Stegostoma tigrinum: one gene and its partner. Each later gene encodes a partner of the first gene's protein in a complex. Links are inferred from orthologs where the notes say so. Each region holds a gene or a part of one and is shown on either strand. Other genes may lie near its edges.

The links.
Region 2: lamtor4 (region 1) and lamtor2 share a complex: the UniProt entries of both Homo sapiens proteins name them as parts of the ragulator complex. The link is inferred for Stegostoma tigrinum from reciprocal best matches to the Homo sapiens genes LAMTOR4 and LAMTOR2.

The regions. Positions count from the first base shown.
Region 1 is NC_081398.1:4,437,355-4,447,703, forward strand, and holds the start of lamtor4 (ragulator complex protein LAMTOR4), read right to left. Parts: upstream 5,513-10,349; 5' UTR 5,387-5,512; coding exon 5,384-5,386; intron 1-5,383. UniProt on the Homo sapiens protein: As part of the Ragulator complex it is involved in amino acid sensing and activation of mTORC1, a signaling complex promoting cell growth in response to growth factors, energy levels, and amino acids.
Region 2 is NC_081400.1:6,455,467-6,463,734, reverse strand, and holds lamtor2 (ragulator complex protein LAMTOR2), read left to right. Parts: upstream 1-4,449; 5' UTR 4,450-4,504; coding exon 4,505-4,572; intron 4,573-5,684; coding exon 5,685-5,847; intron 5,848-6,285; coding exon 6,286-6,375; intron 6,376-6,975; coding exon 6,976-7,083; downstream 7,084-8,268. UniProt on the Homo sapiens protein: As part of the Ragulator complex it is involved in amino acid sensing and activation of mTORC1, a signaling complex promoting cell growth in response to growth factors, energy levels, and amino acids.

The sequences.
Region 1 (10,349 bases):
GCCAATTGGCCAGGTTACTTTCTCTATATATATCACTCACACTGACCCTGATTCCACCCCCACCTTTCCCAACAAACGAGCTGTGTGGAACTGAAGTGCAGACAAAACAGCATCCTATTCAAACGCAGAAGCCCTCACTCACCCAGTCGGCATTCTAACCGCTCGACAGCCTGGCACCATAACTTAAAGAAACTTTATTATCACAAAATCCAATCTCTTCCAACCAGTCGGAGGGTAGAGTGTCCTAGGAACTGTCCACTCAAGAATACTGTGCAGGCTCAACCAGTGAGTATGTTCAATGATATCTTTCTTGAACATCAAGAAGTTTAAAGGGGTAACATTTTGGTCTCCTTACTTGAGAAAGGACATTCCTGGCACTGGAGGGGATGCAGAGGAGGTTCACTGGGTCGATTCCAGAGTTGAGGGGGTTGGCTTTATAAAAGACCTTAAAGTAACACTTAGGAGGCAGTGGTCATAATATGGTAGAGTTCAGTCTGCAGTTTGAAAGAGAGGAGGCAAAATCGGATGTAATGGTATTACAGCTAAATAAAGGTAACTACAGGGGATTGACGAAAATCGACTGGAGGCAGAGCCGAGCAGGGAAGACAGTAGAGCAACAATGGCAGGAATTTCTGGGTGTAATTGAGGACACAATACAGAGGTTCATCCCAAAGAAAAAGAAAGATTATCCGCAGTGGGATTAGACAGCCATGGCTGACAAAGGAAGTCAGGAAATATATCAAAGAAAAAGAGACAGCCTATAAAGTGGCCAAGAGCACTAGGAAATCAGAAGATTGGGAAGGCTGCAAAAACAGACAGAGGATAACAAGGAGAGCAATAAGGAAGGAGAGGATCAAATATGAAGGTAGGCTAGCTAGTAATATTAGAAATGATAGTCAAAGCTTCTTTCAATACATAAGAAACAAACAAGAGGCAAAAGTAGACATTGGGCCGCTCCAAATTGATGCTGGAAGGCTAGTGATGGGAGATAAGGAAATAGCTGAAGAACTTAAGTACTTTGCGTCAGAATTCACAGTGGAAGACATGAGTAGTATGCCAACAATTAGGGAGAGCCAGGGGGCAGAGTTGGGTACAGTAGGCATTACAAAAGAGAAAATGCTAGAAAAGCTAAAAGGTCTAAAAATTGATAAATCTCCTGGCCCCGATGGGCTACATCCTAGAGTTCTGAGGGAGGTGGCTGAGGAAATAGCAGAGGCTTTGGATGTGATCTTTCAAAAGTCACTGGAGTCAGGGAAAGTCCCAGATGATTGGAAAATTGCTGTTGTAACCCCCTTGTTTAAGAAAGGATCAAGGCAAAAGATGGAAAATTATAGGCCGATTAGCCTAACCTCGGTAGTTGGTAAAATTCTAGAATCCACTGCTAAGGATGAGATTTCTAAATTCCTGGAAGTGCAGTGTCAGATTAGAACAAGTCAGCATGGATTTAGTAAGGGGAGGTCGTGCCTGACAAACCTGTTAGAATTCTTTGAAGAGGTAACAAGTATGTTAGACCAGGGAAACCCACGTTATCTATCTAGACTTCCAAAAGGCCTTTGATACAGTGCCTCACGGGAGGCTGCTGAGCAAGGTGAGGGCCCGTGGTGTTCAAGGTGAGCTACCGGCTTGGATTGAGGATTGGCTGTCTGACAGAAGGCAGAGTGTTGGGGATAAAAGGCTCTTGAATGGAATGGCAACCGGTGACGAGTGTTGTCCCGCAGGGTTCAGTGTTGGGGCCGCAGCTGTTCACCTTATACATTAATGATCTGGATGAAGGGACTGGGGGCATTCTGGCGAAGTTTGCTGATGATACGAAGATAGGTGGACAGGCAGGTAGTACTGAGGAGGTGGGGAGGCTGCAGAAAGATTTAGACAGTTTAGGACAGTGGTCCAGGAAATGGCTGATGAAATTCAATGTGAGTAAATGCGAGGTTTTGCACTTTGGAAAAAAGAATACAGGCATGGACTATTTTCTAAACGGTGAGAAAATTCACAAAGCACAAGTACAAAGGGATCTGGGAGTGTTGGTCCAGGATTCTCTAAAGGTTAACTTGCAGGTAGAGTCCGTGATTAAGAAAGCGACTATAATGTTGTCGTTTATCTCAAGAGGGTTGGAATATAAAAGCAGCGATGTGCTTCTCAGGCTTTGTAAGGCTCTAGTTAGGCCCCATTTAGAATACTGTGTCCAATTTTGGGCCCCACACCTCAGGAAGGACATACTAGCCCTGGTGCGTGTCCAACAGAGATTCACACGGATGATCCCTGGAATGGTAGGTTTAACATATGATGAACGGCTAAGGATCCTGGGATTGTACTCATTAGAGTTTGGAAGGTTGAGGGGAGATCTAATAGAACTTACAAGATAATGTATGGTTTAGAAGGGGTGGACGCTAGGAAGTTGTTTCCGTTAGGCGGGGAGACTAGGACCCATGGGCACAGCCTTAAAATTAGAGGGGGTAAATTTAAAACTGAAATGAGACGACATTTCTTCAGCCAGAGTGTGGTGGGCTTGTGGAATTCATTGCCACGGAGTGCAGTGGAGGCCGGGACATTGGATGCCTTCAAGGCAGAGATCGACAAATTCTTGATCTCAGAAGGAATCAAGGGCTACGGGGAGAGTGCAGGGAAGTGGAGTTGAAATGCCCATCAGCCATGATTTAAATGGTGGAGTGGACTTGACGGGCCGAATGGTCTTACTTCCACTCCTGTGTCTTATGAGAAGAGATTGATTAGACTGGGACTGTACTTATTGGAATTTAAAAGAACGAGGGGGATCTGACAGAAACGTATAAAGTTATGAAGGGAATAGATGACATAGAAGTGGGGAGGTTGTTTCCACTGGGCAGGTGAAACTAGAACGTGTGGGGCATGGTCTCAAAATAATGGGGGAAGCAGATTTAGGACTGAGGTCAGGAGCAACTTCTTCACCCAAAGGGTTGTGAATCTGTGGAATTCCCTGCCCAGAGAAGTAGTTGAGGGTACATGGTTGAATGTTTTTAAGGCAAAAATTAAGAGTTTTAAACAGTAAAGGAATTAAGCGTTATGGTGAGCGGGCAAGTAAGTCCACGAAAAGATCAGCCATGATTTTAATCGAATGGCAGGGCAGGTTTGAGGGGCCTGACGGCCCAGTCCTGCTCCTGTTTCTTATAACTTTATTTACTGGGATAGTGTCGGGAAATCGGTTGAGGTGGAGATTCAGCCAAGATTGAGGTGAATAGCAGTGCTTGATGCCATTCAGCCCATTCTCCTGCTCCTGCTCCTATATTTCCTCACATTCTCTGTCAGATGGAGACCGAGAGAGACTGGGAAAAGGACGAGCGATGTAGGAAAGGAAAGGAAAGGAAACTTTCTTTCGTAAAAACGCAGCAAGTTGTTGGGATTGGGAACGTGGTACCTGGCAGCGTCGCGGCTTTCAAAGAGGACAGGGCAAATAATGCAGGTTCACGGGGAAAAAGACAAGGGAGGGGAGGTGTCTGGGCAAGACCCAGCACAGATGCAATGGGCTGAAAGGCCTCTTTCTATGTTGTAACTGTTTCAGAGTTCGATAAAACATCTCATGGTGCTTCATAACGCTTTATAAAGCGCTGTCTTTCACCAAGCTAACAGAGGGGATGTTAACCGAATGACCAAAAGAGTGGTCAAAGAGTTGAGGGAACATTTAGAAGTCATCGCCAATCTCACAGTCTTTCAGTCTGTAGTCTTGCAGGTTGTGCTGCTTCAGGTGTACATTCTAGTATCTCTTAGAAACGTGATGAGGCTTTCTGCCTAGACCAGCCTAACAGACAGCAGTTTACAGATTCTCACCACATAGTAGGTTAAACAAAAAAAATTCCTCATCAACTGCTGTCACATCTTTCTCCCAACCCCTGGAAATCTACACCTGCTATTGTTCTCTCTGACACAGGTAGTCCCATGTCCAAATGCTTGCTACAGCAACATAGACTGGAGCTGCAGGTTAGGACTGTGCAAAAATCCCAGATGCACCTGGCTCTGTGGGAATTGCCTAGAAAACCAGATTTTCCCAATTTGGAACCCTTTGAAAGAGCTCACTGAAGAAGTCAGAAGGTTGAGATTTACTCAAGGTTAAAAAAGTTACCCAGGATTTGATTTTAAGAACTAGGAGGATTAAAAATCTGTTCCAATTCCTGCTAACAGCTATTAAAAACTTAAACCTAACTCATCACTGACCAAACTTAGGTCTCCCCACCCCACAGCCCATGCAAAAGAGAAAACATTCTATCTGGATGCATCACAGCTCTGCCCAAGACCGCAAAAGAAAAATGACAGAGTTGTGAACACAGTCCAGTCCATCACACAAGGCAGCCTTCCATCCATTGACTCCATCCACACATTCCAATTCCTCGGGAGAGCAACCCACATAATGACCCCTCCCACTCTGGTTATACTCTCTTCCATCAGGCAGAAGATAGAACAAATTTTGTACGAACAGATTTAAAAGAACAGCTTCTTCCCCACTGTTATCAGACTTAAGACCTCTCCAATATTTGAGTTGATCTTTCTCCACACTCTCCATGTCATTTGCACCGCATGGAATCGTTGAAGAAGGGCCCCGACCCGAAACGTCAGCTTGGCCTGCAGTGTCCATCCAGCTCCACACCGTGTTATCTCAAATTCTCCAGCATCAGCAATTCCTACTATCTCCGCACTCTTACCTGTACACTAATCCCACCCCAATCCAACCTCACACCTACTCTGAGGCAGGAACTTTCAGAGATTGGCACCTGCTGAATGTATAAGTCAACAACAGAAGGCCACACACTGAACACTGCAGACAAAAAGAAAGTGGGTGGGAAGGTGAGAAAGGAGGGTGGTGGCATACCCTAAGATTTTAGGATTATAGGAAACAAGGGAGGGGGGTGGGGCAGGCCATTCGGCCCCTCGGCCCCTCAAGCCTGGATTCATGGACTGTTTGGTGCCAGAAATAGCGCCCCAACTTGTCCACAGGAATCTCCAGGGCAGACGCCATCTCAAGAATGGAAGTATCTCGCCTCTTCAGCTGCCTCCCTCCCTCGTTTGTAAACAGTTGACTATCGCCCACCCAAAGCGTGCAAGCAAATGCTGAATATCATCAGCGCGTTCAATGCAATGCAAACGATTCCATGCGGTGCAAATGACAAATTGCAATGTTTGAATTCAAGCGGTTTGGGTTATTTTTAGACCAGGGCCCGTCCTAGTTTTAAAACAGGGGGAAATGGCCAATGGCCGTGACCTGTGACCTCCCGGGCCCAGTCACCCGGGGAATGACAGGTGACAGGCGGTTAACGGCTTCCAGCCACCCCCGGGAGAAAGTGTACACCACGAATCGGGTGGATGTTGTGTGTGTTTTTTTTTAAACCACCCCGCTACCCAACAAGCTCGTACTCACCATCGAGACAGAGCCCGGGCACGTCTTCAGCCTCCGCCCGTCGGTTAAAGCCCGCGTCACATGACACTCAGATTCCCACACCCCCACCGTTCCTCGTTCGCTTATGCCGGGAGTCGACGGTTTCTGATTGGTCTGTTCCTCTGTCAGTCAACCAAATTATCATATACGACCCACCGCGACCTGGGTGATTGGACGGCTTCGCTACGCCGTTCATTTCGATTGGTCAGCATAGCCATCTATCATCACTGAGCCGGCGTCCCACCCACACCACGTACAGTCCCACATGACCTGGGTACAACCCCCAAATCTGTCCGTCACAGGCGATTGGACAGTATCGACCATCCTAACCGCTGATTGATCGACACAGCCGTCCATCATCTGTCAAATAACCCGCCTACTTCTCGTCCCCGTCCTTTGGACTGTAGGTCTCCTCTATTGGTCCATGGTTCCGGCTATCACCGTCTCCTATGATCCAACGTCACGCCGCTTCCGTATATCACATGACATGCAGCCGCCAGCGCTCTCGTCATTGATTGAACGGAACTCGTCCTCCTCCCCGCCTTCTGATCTCGCGCGCCCTTCCCACTTCGCGCATGTCCCCGCCCTCCTCGTCCCCAACCGCTAGCCGCGAGGGCGTTCCACCCCCCTTCCCACCTCCGCTATCCTCCAAGCCAATTGGTCAAAAGGCCCCTGTGGCCGTCCGTTTGGTTGGATGGGACGTCAATCAGAGCGTTGCCTTCGTCCGATTGGTGAATACCGATAGGCCCGCAACACTCTGGTTGGACCGTCCGGCCGTCAGTCTCCCTTCGGTCGGCCCCGCCCTCCTGATGTGATCGGCTTGAGTTCCCTCAGTCTCTTCCATGACATCCATTTAGATTTATTTCTCTTGATTAATTTTGTCGTCGTGAAGTAATTTGCTCCACGGCAAGGTACAGGGACAAATCAACCGAATAACCCATGGGATCACCGGTATCAGGGTGAATAGCGGAAGCCGTAAGGCGTCGAGTGGAGCGGACGACCATCCAAAACCATGTGTGGACGACACCTTTGTCGTTATTAAACGCTCTAAACTGGAGGAAAACCCATAAACAACATCCTCGCCGGCATATAATTCACCAAGGAGGAGGAGCAGAACAATAACAGAACCCCCTTCCCAGGCACAGTGGTCAACCGTCAGGCCAACGGCGAACCCCAGGCCAATGGACACAGGAAGGTCACCGGCACAGACAGGGCCCTCAAGTACAGTAGCAATCGTCCCCAAAGTGCCCACAAACAGGGCCGCATCAAAAACCCCGTTCAAAGCCAGCCGCAAGAAACACACCCTGGGGCTGCGCAAAGCCGAGGAAGAACGCCTACACAAGCCATCCGAAAAGCGTTGATACCTACTTCTTCCTACCAGTTCTGTCGTGAGGCAGAAACTCACGTCGCATTTGAAATAAAATCCTTCTGGGTGCACACTTGAAGTGGTACAAGTTACGTGGCTGCGGAGAACACAGGGAGACACGAAGGGTAGGGGGACAGGAAAGAGCGAGAACAGGGCACTGGGTGATCATAAGGAACGGCACAGCAGACTTGACGGGTCAAATAGCCTACCCTTGCTCCTATTTTCTTTCCGTCTAACATAGTTGTGATTTCTAATCATGATCTCAAGCCCAAGACTTTTCAGCAGGAGTCCCTTCGTGCAGCCTGGAAAGCATCATTTGCAGTCCCTTTGTTAACGAAACAGTGCATGCATGAATGCATTCCTAAGACACACTCTTTCCCTTAATGCAGAAAAAGACACCATCTATGTTTGGCCTGATAAGCGACAAATTACATTCATGTCCTGTAAGTTTTCAGGCTGATTCTACCAATTGAGCTCATAACCAAGAGAGATAGTAAGAATTGCTGATGCTGGAGATAACACAGTGTGGAGCTGGAGGAGCACAGCAGGCCAGGCAGCCTCAGAAGTGCAGGAAAACTGACATTTCAGATCAGGACCCCTTTCTTGAAATACCCCATTTCTGAAGAAGGGTCCCGACCCAAAATGTCAGCTTTCCTGCTCCTCTGATGCTGCCTGGCCTGCTTTGTTCCCCCAGAATCACACTAAATCATAACCAATACTGTCTTAGCCCATTCTCCACCCCACCCCAACCCCTTCCACTCATAATGTTTAAATGGCACTACTATTATTTACTGGAAAGAAACTGTGATTACCCTGCACAAGAAACTTTGCTGCATCAGGCAGATATGTGATGTGGCTGCTAGACTGGATCAGGTGTGGTAATTTGCAGGTTCAGCTACTGACCTGCCAATGCACAAGACAAAAATGGAGTGAAGTATCATTTTCTCTAGAGAGAGGTGCTTCTGTACAAGCTCTCTTATCAGCACCAGCAGCCTGCTGATTAACACTCATTAAGCATCGACATCCTCCACCACTGCAATGTGTGTATACCATCTACAATATGCACTTCAGGCAACTCGCCAAAACTCAGCAGTAGCTAGAATACTTTCATGACTTGGGCTGTGACATTTCAAAAAGACAGGCACAAACAAGAGTTTTACTGAGCAGACTGATTCCATATGGCCCATCATCTGTGTGCCAACCAAGATGGATCACCCAGCCTAATTTCTCTTACCAGCCCTGTCAGCATAGCTGTGTAGCGTATAGCGCTTCAAGTGCGCATCCAAAAAGATTTTATTTTAAATGCAAAGTGAATTTATGCCTCACTACAGAACTTTTAGATGGAGAGTTCCATATCCACACTTTTCTGGGTAAATATCTTCTCAACTCTTCTCCAATCTAACAAATTGCTACAGCTCTGGATTCTTGACAGGTCTGCTAAGGGAAGTAGGCCCTTTTTTTATTATGTCTCTTTCCTTTTATCTCCCAATCTCCACTGTTCTCCCCTCTTTGGTTGCCTTGGGGTCACATCCTTCTGCAAGAGGCAGGGCCCTGTGTAGCACCAGGCCCATGACCCATTCCAGCTCGGATATGCCGCATGAGCAGTGGCAGAAGATGTGCCCAGAACCAGGACCTCAGCAGCACTCAGATATGGTGGAGAAGCCCATTACCAAGACCCCAGCCAATGTTAAAGTAGCAGGAACTGTAGGAGCAGCTGAGAAAGAGAAAGAAGAAGGAGAGCCAAATGAGAAGATGAACAGCTGAACCTAAAAATACCAAAGCTATTGCAGTAAAAGCATGCAATGCAAACAGATCCGAGATGGCACTGCAGAGTGGTGACATGTTGTGGATAACTTGCAAAACAACACTTTCCACTGTAGGTAAGTGTGACAATATTAAATAAATCTAAATAATGTTATGCACCTCAATTAAATCAACTCTCAGCCTCTTCTGTCCAAAGAAAACAAGTGCATAAAAGCAAGGATATGGTTAAAACTATCCAGCAATTTAACTGTAGATATCAATCAGTGAGTTGTTTTTATGTTCATATTTAATGTATCAACTTTAACACAGTATGTAATGCTTATATATTATTTCTATATACGTAAGAATACTTCTTGTGTTCATCCAGTCTTTCCTCAAATAAATTCTTCATTTCTGGCAGCATATTCGTAACTCTTCTCTGTACCTCACCCTCAGTAATCAGACTGCCACCACTTTGAGGGCAATTATGGGTGGACATGCTTGTCTACAACATCCCAACAATTGTAGTTAAATTGTAGCTGTGAGTTATTTTTGTAACAGAAGGAATGCGTTAAGCAAACAGGACAGAAAGAGGAGCTAGAGAGATAGTCGGAACTGCAGATGCTGGAGAATCTGAGATAACAAGGTGTAGAGCTGGATGAACACAGCAGGCCAAGCAGCATCAGAGGAGCAGGAAGGCTGACGTTTCAGGCCTAGACCCTTCTTCAGAAAAGCATTTCTGAAGAAGGGTCGAGGCCCGAAATGTCAGCCTTCCTGCTCCTCTGATGCTGCTTGGCCTGCTGTGTTCATCCAGCTCTACACCTTGTTGTCTCAGAAAAAGGAGCTAATCAGGACACAAATTAACGCATAACAAACTTTATTGAATATGTTCACGTGTTGTAGGATAATACAATAAGAGTTCAGAAATATGACAATTGATTCTTTCCACTTACTGCAATCTATCCTAATTTAATCATTGTTTCTAGTCTGGCTACTTCAACTACAATCTAAGAAATATATTTAAAGCAAACTGTAGCCACTCAGACAACATTGACCAGTACATTATCCCTCCCTAGATTGGCAACTGTCTCTTTTGTAGGAGACTAGACAGTTCAGTTCACTGGCATTCTTCATGCAACCTTGAAATTCTTTGCTTCGTGATTTTGTAATTCATTAACTCATTTAATCCTGAGTAACGATGAGAATCCTCATGTAAAACTGGAGTTAATACTTTTAATGGTATTAAAAGTGGACGTGTGACCATCCTGTGTTTCTAACTATTTCAGTTCTTTTACCCTAAACATATTGTATGTTTTCTCAATTTCTGCTCTTACAGTTTCCTTTTTTATATTTTTCCAGTCTACAGGAATGTCAGCTTTTTTGGCCTTGTAAGCTTCTGAAAACTCTGTATTAAAAGTAGACAGGACGTATTTCCAGTAGGCTGATGCTTGGATACTTGTGTCAGGTGGAATATTCCAGGAAGCAAAATAATCATTTACGCTGCGGTAGCCTTTGTATGGATGGAACTCATATTGTGTTGCTGCACAGCGGAATGAAGCATCGGATGCTATTGCAGAATTACACACTGTCGCCACCAGCTTTTTGCTGGTAATATGGCGAAACCTATTTAGTCCCTCAGGCCGATGTGTTGCAGCAAAATGCTCCTTGTGTCCCGAGCCTCCTTGTTCACAAGACACTCCGCAGAACCGGCACATCTTCCCGCAGCCAAGAACTTGACGGAAGATCTCTTCATCCAGCTGCACTGGCAGACGTGGCAGAATTTCTTCGATGTTGCAATTCTTGTGAAAGTCTGATATGAGTTTCTGCTCGACATCATCC
Region 2 (8,268 bases), on another chromosome or scaffold:
GAGGGAAAGAGCTGGGCTGGTTGTGTGATGCAGTGGGGGGAGGGGATGAACTGGGCTGGTTTTGGGATGCGGTGGGGGAAGGGGAGATTTTGAAGCTGGTGAAGTCCACATTGATACCATTGGGCTGCAGGGTTCCCAAGCGGAATATGAGTTGCTGTTCCTGCAACCTTCGGGTGGCATCATTGTGGCACTGCAGGAGGCCCATGATGGACATGTCATCAAGAGAATGGGAGGGGGAGTGGAAATGGTTTGCGACTGGGAGGTGCAGTTGTTTGTTGCGAACTGAGCGGAGGTGTTCTGCAAAGCGGTCCCCAAGCCTCCGCTTGGTTTCCCCAATGTAAAGGAAGCCACACCAGGTACAGTGGATACAGTATACCACATTGGCAGATGTGCTGGTGAACCTCTGCTTAATGTGGAAAGTCATCTTGGGGCCTGGGATGGGGGTGAGGGAGGAGGTGTGGGGGCAAGTGTAGCATTTCCTGCAGTTGCAGGGGACGGTGCCGGGTGTGGTGGGGTTGGAGGGCAGTGTGGAGCGAACAAGGGAGTCACGGAGAGAGTGGTCTCTCCGGAAAGCAGACAGGTGTGGGGATGGAAAATTGTCTTGGGTGGTGGGGTCGGATTGTAAATGGCGGAAGTGTTGGAGGATGATGCGTTGTATCCGGAGGTTGGTGGGGTGGTGTGTGAGAACGAGGGGGATCCTCTTTGGGCGGTTGTGGCGGGGGCGGGGTGTGAGAGATGTGTTGCGGGAAATATGGGAGACGTGGTCAAGGGCGTTCTCGATCACTGTGGGGGGAAAGTTGTGGTCCTTGAAGAACTTGGACATCTGGGATGTGCGGGAGTGGAATGCTTCATCGTGGGAGCAGATGCGGCGGAGGCGGAGGAATTGGGAATAGGGAATGGAATTTTTGCAGGAGGGTGGGTGGGAGGAGGTGTATTCTAGTTAGCTGTGGGAGTCGGTGGCTTGAAATGGACATCAGTTACAAGCTGGTTGCCTGAGATGGAGACTGAGAGATCCAGGAAGGTGAGGGATGTGCTGGAGATGGCCCAGGTGAACTTGAGGTTGGGGTGGAAGGTGTTGGTGAAGTGGATGAACTGATCGAGCTCCTCTGGGGAGCAAGAGGCGGCGCCGATACAGTCATCAATGTACCGGAGGAAGAGGTGGGGTTTGGGGCCTGTGTAGGTGCGGAAGAGGGACTGTTCCACGTAACCTACAAAGAGGCAGGCATAGCTGGGGCCCATGCGGGTGCCCATGGCCACCCCCTTTGTCTGTAGGAAGTGGGAGGAGTCGAAAGAGAAGTTGTTGAGGGTGAGGACGAGTTTAGCTAGGCAGATGAGGGTGTCTGTGGAGGGGGACTGGTTGGGCCTGCGAGACAGGAAGAAGCGGAGGGCCTTGAGGCCATCTGCATGCGGAATGCAGGTGTATAGGGACTGGACGTCCATGGTGAAAATGAGGTGTTGGGGGCCAGGGAATTGGAAGTCCTGGAGGAGGTGGAGGGCGTGGGTGGTGTCACGGACATAGGTAGGGAGTTCCTGGACCAATGGGAGAAAATGGAGTCCAGATAGGTGGAGATGAGTTCGGTGGGGCAGGAGCAGGCGGAGACGATGGGTCGACCAGGGCAGGCAGGTTTGTGGATTTTGGGAAGGAGATAGAAACGGGCCGTGCGGGGTTGGGGAACGATGAGGTTGGAGGCTGTGGGTGGGAGGTCCCCTGAGGTGATGAGGTCATGAATGGTGTTGGAGATGATGGTTTGGTGCTCGGGTGTGGGGTCATGATCGAGGGGGCGGTAGGAGGTGGTGTCGGAGAGTTGGCGTGTGGCCTCGGCGATGTAGAGGTCAGTGCGCCATACTACCACTGCGCTACCCTTGTCTGCGGGTTTGATGGTGAGGTTGGGTTTGGAGCGGAGGGAGCGGAGGGCTGTCCGTTCTGCAGGGGAGAGGTTGGAGTGGGTGAGGGGGTGGAGAGGTAGAGGCGGTTAATGTCTCGACTTCACCAGCTTCAAAATTTCCCCTTCCCCCACCGCATCCCTAAACCAGCCCAGTTCATCCCCTCCCCCCACTGCACTACACAACCAGCCCAGCTCTTACCCTCCACCCACTGCATCCCAAAACCAGTCCAACCTGTCTCTGCCTCCCTAACCTGTTCTTCCTCTCACCCATCCCTTCCTCCCACCCCTAGCCGCACCCCCATCTACCTACTAACCTCATCCCACCTCCTTGACCTGTCCGTCTTCCCTGGACTGACCTATCCCCTCCCTACCTCCCCACCTATACTCTCCTCTCCACCTATCTTCTTTACTCTCCATCTTCGGTCCGCCTCCCCCTCTCTCCCTATTTATTCCAGAACCCTCACCCCATCCCCCTCTCTGATAAAGGGTCTAGGCCCGAAACGTCAGCTTTTGTGCTCCTGAGATGCTGCTTGGCTTGCTGTGTTCATCCAGCCTCACATTTTATAATCTGGGGCTGGATTATGTTGGCGTGGATAAGTTGGACTGAAGGGTCTCTTTCTGTGCTGTACAACTCTGTGACTCTTTACAGTTTACAGAGAAATATTGATAAAAATTTGGCAAATAGATTATACCAAGTGAAAATATGAAGTTGTTCATTTTGGAAGAGAGAACAAAAGAACACAATATTACTCAACCGGAGAGAAGCTGCAGAAAGCTGCAACAAACTGCAGGAAACATAGCAAGCTAACCACATGTAGTCAGGAAGGGCTAGTGAGATGTTGGCCCTTATTTCAAGAGGGTTGGAGTATCATAGTAGAGAAGTCTTATTTGCAACTATGCTAGGCACTGGGGAAATCACATCTGGAGTGCTGTTAGCAGTTTAAGTCCCCTTATTTAGATAAAGATAGTTTCATTGGAAGAAGTTTAGAGAAGTTTGAGGTGATCCAAGGTATGGAGGGATTGTCTTTTGAGCAAGGATTAAACAGGTTGGGACTCTACTAAGTGGAGTTTAGAAGAATGAGAAATAATCTCATTGAAACATATAGGACTCCGAAGGGGCTCACCGGGGACTCTCCTCATGGGAGAGTCTAGGACCTTAGGTCATAGTCTTAGAATAAGTTTAAGACTGAAGTGAGGAGGAATTTCTTTTCTGAGAGGAGGTGTTTGAGAGTCTTTGGAACTCTTTGCTGCAGAGAGGGGCCAGACTCCTCCTGTATATTTAAGGCTCAGATAGATTGGATTTCTTGATCAGTCAGGAAATCAAAACTTACAGGGAAAATACAGCAATGTGGATGTGAGGAATGTTAGATTAACCTTGATCCCATTGAATAGCAGAGCAGGCTTGAGCAGTTGAATGGCCTATTCCTGTCATTTCCTCTTAATTTGGTTCCAAAGCAAATCATGTTAAAATTGCGTGGAATGCTAAGTTAGCTTTAGCTGAAATAATGTCCAGTTGTGGGCATCACATTTTAAGAAGGCACCAGAGCATACAGGCAAGGATTTGCAGGATTGGTTCCAGGGATGATGGATTTCAGTGTTGTGAATAGATCAGAGATGCTAGGACTGTTTTCTTGCAGAAGAGAAGTCAGGGAGGAGATTTTACCAAAACTTTGGAAACCATTAGGGGTCAGGAATGGAACGGAGAGGGAGAAATTGTTCCCATTCGCAGAGAGATTGGACTAGTGGGCACGGAATCGAAGACTATTGGTAATCAGAAAGTGGGAGTAGGATCACCATCTGAAATGGAAGAACATACATGGCAATAAGTAGAAGCTCGCAGGGGGAGCACTCATTCAGAAATGGAATGGGCTTAATGGCATCCTCTTGTGCTTTAACAATTCTGCAGGTTATGCATGGCGCTACAGAAATTCAGGGGACATTGCCAAGCTTCTGTCATCTGTTGCAGCTGTAAATGTTAGCACCGTGGTGTCCGTTCTGTTTTGTTGTCTGTTTAAAGGCTGATGGTTAATGTATTGTTTTTTCCGAGCAGGTGGGACCTGAGCCCGGGCCTCCCTGTCCAGGGGTAGGAAAACTACCATTACAGCACAATAAAACCTGATTAGACAATTCTCCTTTACCAAGATGGTGACAAAGCCGCACTTCCGTCTTAGCCGATTGTTTCCCCTTTACAAATATGGTGAACAGGGTGGCTTCAGCTATTTCCGAAGCAATGGGAACGTCTGGATGGGTACCCCATTGCCAATATGGCGGCGACAAGGCGTCTCCTTGGGCAGCTTCGACGAGATCTCCCTTACAAATATGGCGACGGCATAGCGCCCGCGTTCTCCTTACCAAGATGGCGGCGGGAGAATTTTTTTTTAACCTTCGCCGCAGATGATTGCCTTATATTCCGGAAAATAACGCTCACCGATTAAAACTCCCAAAGGAGGCGGTCGTGGTTAAAATATGCGCAGAGATGCATGTTCCGGCGGAAGGGGTTGGGGGGGCAGGACCACGTGAGAGTGAGATCACGGGCTGTAGGCGGCGGGATTTGGAACTACAGATCCCAGAGTGCACGGCTGTTTCCGGTCACTGTGGACTTCCGGCGACTCCCGAAGATGTTGAGGCCCAAAGCCCTGACCCAGGTCCTGAGCCAGGCCAACACCGCGGGGGTCCAGAGCACCCTGTGAGTGAGGGGGCTGCGGCGAGGGCGGAGGGAGGGCCTGGGGGAGTCAGGGAGAGACCTTGGGAGGCGTGGCCCCAGTGTGTTATGGAGGGTGGGGGCTGGAGACCCCGTGGGGGCAGTGTGTGGTGGGAGTGGGGGCGGGGGCTGGAGACCCCGTGGGGGCAGTGAGTGGGGGGTGACGGGGGGCTGGAGACCCCGTGGGGGCAGTGAGTGGGGGGGTGACGGGGGCTGGAGACCCCGTGGGGGCAGTGAGTGGGGGGTGGTGGGGGCTGGAGACCCCGTGGGGGCAGTGAGTGGGGGGAGTGGGGGCGGGGGCTGGAGACCCCGTGGGGGCAGTGTGTGGTGGGAGTGGGGGCGGGGGCTGGAGACCCCGTGGGGGCAGTGTGTGGTGGGAGTGGGGGCGGGGGCTGGAGACCCCGTGGGGGCAGTGTGTGGTGGGAGTGGGGGCGGGGGCTGGAGACCCCGTGGGGGCAGTGAGTGGGGGGAGTGGGGGCGGGGGCTGGAGACCCCGTGGGGGCAGTGTGTGGTGGGAGTGGGGGCGGGGGCTGGAGACCCCGTGGGGGCAGTGAGTGGGGGGTGGCGGGGGCTGGAGACCCCGTGGGGGCAGTGAGTGGGGGGAGTGGGGGCGGGGGCTGGAGACCCCGTGGGGGGCAGTGAGTGGGGGGTGGCGGGGGCTGGAGACCCCGTGGGGGCAGTGAGTGGGGGGTGACGGGGGCTGGAGACCCCGTGGGGGCAGTGAGTGGGGGGTGGCGGGGGCTGGAGACCCCGTGGGGGCAGTGAGTGGGGGGTGGCGGGGGCTGGAGACCCCGTGGTGGGGGGGGAGGCATTTGGAAGAAGGCTTCTGTGAGTTGGGGGCAGGAGCGGAGGAGTGGGTGGTGTTATGGTGGGGGTGAAACCCTCTGTGGGTGGGGAGGTGGTGTTTAGGGAGGAGATTGGAGCCTGTGAGCGGGTGTTGGTATACAGACGGATGGGGGGGGTGGTGAAGAGGGGAGCGGGGTGGGATTCCGGGGGGGGGGGGGGGGGTGCTGGTTGGATGTCTGTGCAGGGGTGACATTTGGGGAGGGGTATGTACCGGCTAACAGTAACCATGACCCCCCCCCCCCCCCCCACAGGTTGTTGAACAACGAGGGCTCCCTCCTCGCGTATTCGGGGTACGGAGACACAGATGCCCGGGTGACTGCAGCGATCGCCAGCAACATCTGGGCTGCCTACGCCAAGAACGGGCACCAGGCCTTCAACGAGGACAAGCTACGATTCATCCTCATGGACTGCATGGTGTGGGGCTGCTGGGGGCGGGTGGTGAGGGGAGGCTCACTGTTCCCTTTCAGCACTGACATGGTCACTCTTCCCCCCCCCCCCCCCCCCCCCCACAAGAAGAGTGGCATCGCTTGTGGGGGATCTGGTCCTGCGCCACGAATCCGTCCGTAGCTGAATATCCCGTCCGGCAAGGGGCTGGCTTGCAACAGACTGGGTCAAGTGAGAGCCGCGAGGATTGGGGCGGCGGGGGGTGCAAAACCGACCACCTCCTTTCTCAGGGAGGGGGGTTCCATGCGTGCTTTTGGGCATTGCCCACTTTGAGCCTGTTCACCCTCTGTACGTCCATGCTAAATCCCCCTTGTTCGAGGGTGTGGGCAGCCCTGCGTACCCCACCCCTGTGTGCGTGCGTGTCTTGCCCTCTCTGACCCCCCGTGTGTCTCTCTCTTTCCGTTTCAGGAAGGCAGGGTGGCGATCACCCGTGTGGCCAACCTGCTGCTGTGCATGTACGCAAAGGAGACCGTGGGATTCGGGATGCTGCAGGCGAAGGTGAGCGGGCTGGGGGTGGGTAGGTGACGGGGTTGTGCAGATGGTGGGTGGGTTGCGGGGCTGGAAGGGTGTTTGGGCGGAGGTGGCTGGGGGTGAGGTGGGCCGGGGGGTTGGTGGGGGGGGGAGCGTCGGCGGGTGGGCGGAGGGGGCAGTGCGGTGGGCCGGGGCGTCGGGAGCGATGGAGCTGGGTGGGGGTTGTTAGCGTTTGCTTGTGAGGGCTCCTCTGTGTGGTCCTCGGTCCATGTTGCGTTCACTAGCAGCTTTGTAGCGATGAGACGATGTGATGTAGGAGCAGTTGTGCGCCGCTCAGCCCATCGAGTCCATCCACCCTTCGATGGCTGATCTTGGTCATCCCCATCTCCCAATTTCCTGCCCTTTCCTCCATACCCCCCACCCCCCCGCCCCGGTTCCCTCCCTGGTTTGAAAATCTCTCTTTCCCAGCCTCCAATATAAGTCAGTCATTGTAACCACCATCGCTGAATACCCTACTGTCAACATCCAGGGGTCACCACTGAGGGAGAATCTAACCATTGTGCCCCCCCCTCCGGCATTCAGTGGTGTTAACATCACTCTAGTCTCTTTTCCCACTCCCTGCCTCAGTATCACCACACTGGGGGTTACCATTGCTCAGATATCGATACCATTGCCCCATATCGATACCGGGGGCTACCAAAGCAGGTCAGAGGCTGGGAATCCTGCAGCCAGTGACTCCCGTCCCAACTCCCCTGTCCCACCATTAACAAGGCAGGAGTGTGAGGGAATGCACCCCCCCCCCCCCCGCCACTTGCCCTGGGTGGGGGCAGCTCTGACAAACACTGGAGAAGCTTGACCCCATCTGGGGGCAAAGCAGCCCCCCTCGCCCTCCCTGGATTGGCACCGTGTCCACAAGCCCCCACTCCCCCCCCGCCCCAGCCGATGCTCAGTCGCAGCAGTGTGTACCATTCACAGCGACTCCCCCCAGTCAGCACCTTCCAAACCCGGGACCCCTACCCCCTGGGGATGGGGGCAACGGGCAGCAGGTACAGGGGAACCCCAGCCCCCTGCGAGTTCCCCTCCAAGACACCCCCCCGCCCCCCCCCACACCGTCCTGACTTGGAAGTATGCACCATTCCTTCCCTGGATCAGAAGCCTGGAATTCCCTCCCGAAAGGCACCCGCCCGGCTACACCCGCGTCCCATGAGTGAATTTAGCAAAAAATGACCCAGCCTCAACAGCCCTCCGAGGCGAAGAATTCCGGAGATTCACTCCCCTCGGAGGGAAGGAATTCCTCCCCATCTCTGTCTTTGGTGGGTGACCCCTTCGTCTGTTATGATGCCCCTCTTGTATGAGACCACAAGGTTGGGGGATGGGGGGGGGGTGGAGAAACTCCCTCCCCGCATCTCCCCTCTCATTTTCCGCGTTAATAATCTTTGTGTCAATAAGGTCCCCCCTCATTCTTCTAAAGTGCAATGAGTACAGGCCCCCACCTCCTCAAACCCTCCCTCACGAGTCAGTCCCTCCGTCCCCGGGATGGTACGATAAAAGAAAAAGGATGATGAAAAGCTTTACCCAACTTTCGCCCTCCCAAATCTTGAATTTTAGGAAGATTGGGGATGCAATGAGGGAGCGTGGTCGGTGCTGGGGTAACGGTGTTTAATGTGCTGGCCTCCTTGGTTGAGTGTGCCCGCTGGTACTTGTTTCTGGGGCCCTTGTCAGCTACGCAGTGGCAGTGCAGAGGGACCCCAGTCAGAAGCAGGGGGCATGCCGAGGGGTAACACGCCTGGGTTAGGTGTGTGGGAGTGCAGGCGGTGGTAACTGAGGGGAATTTGAGAGACGTGGAGCAATTGGAGCGGGCATCTCATACTCTGCGCAAATGTAATCTGTTCGTTCTTTCTCTCTTCCCCCCCACCCCCC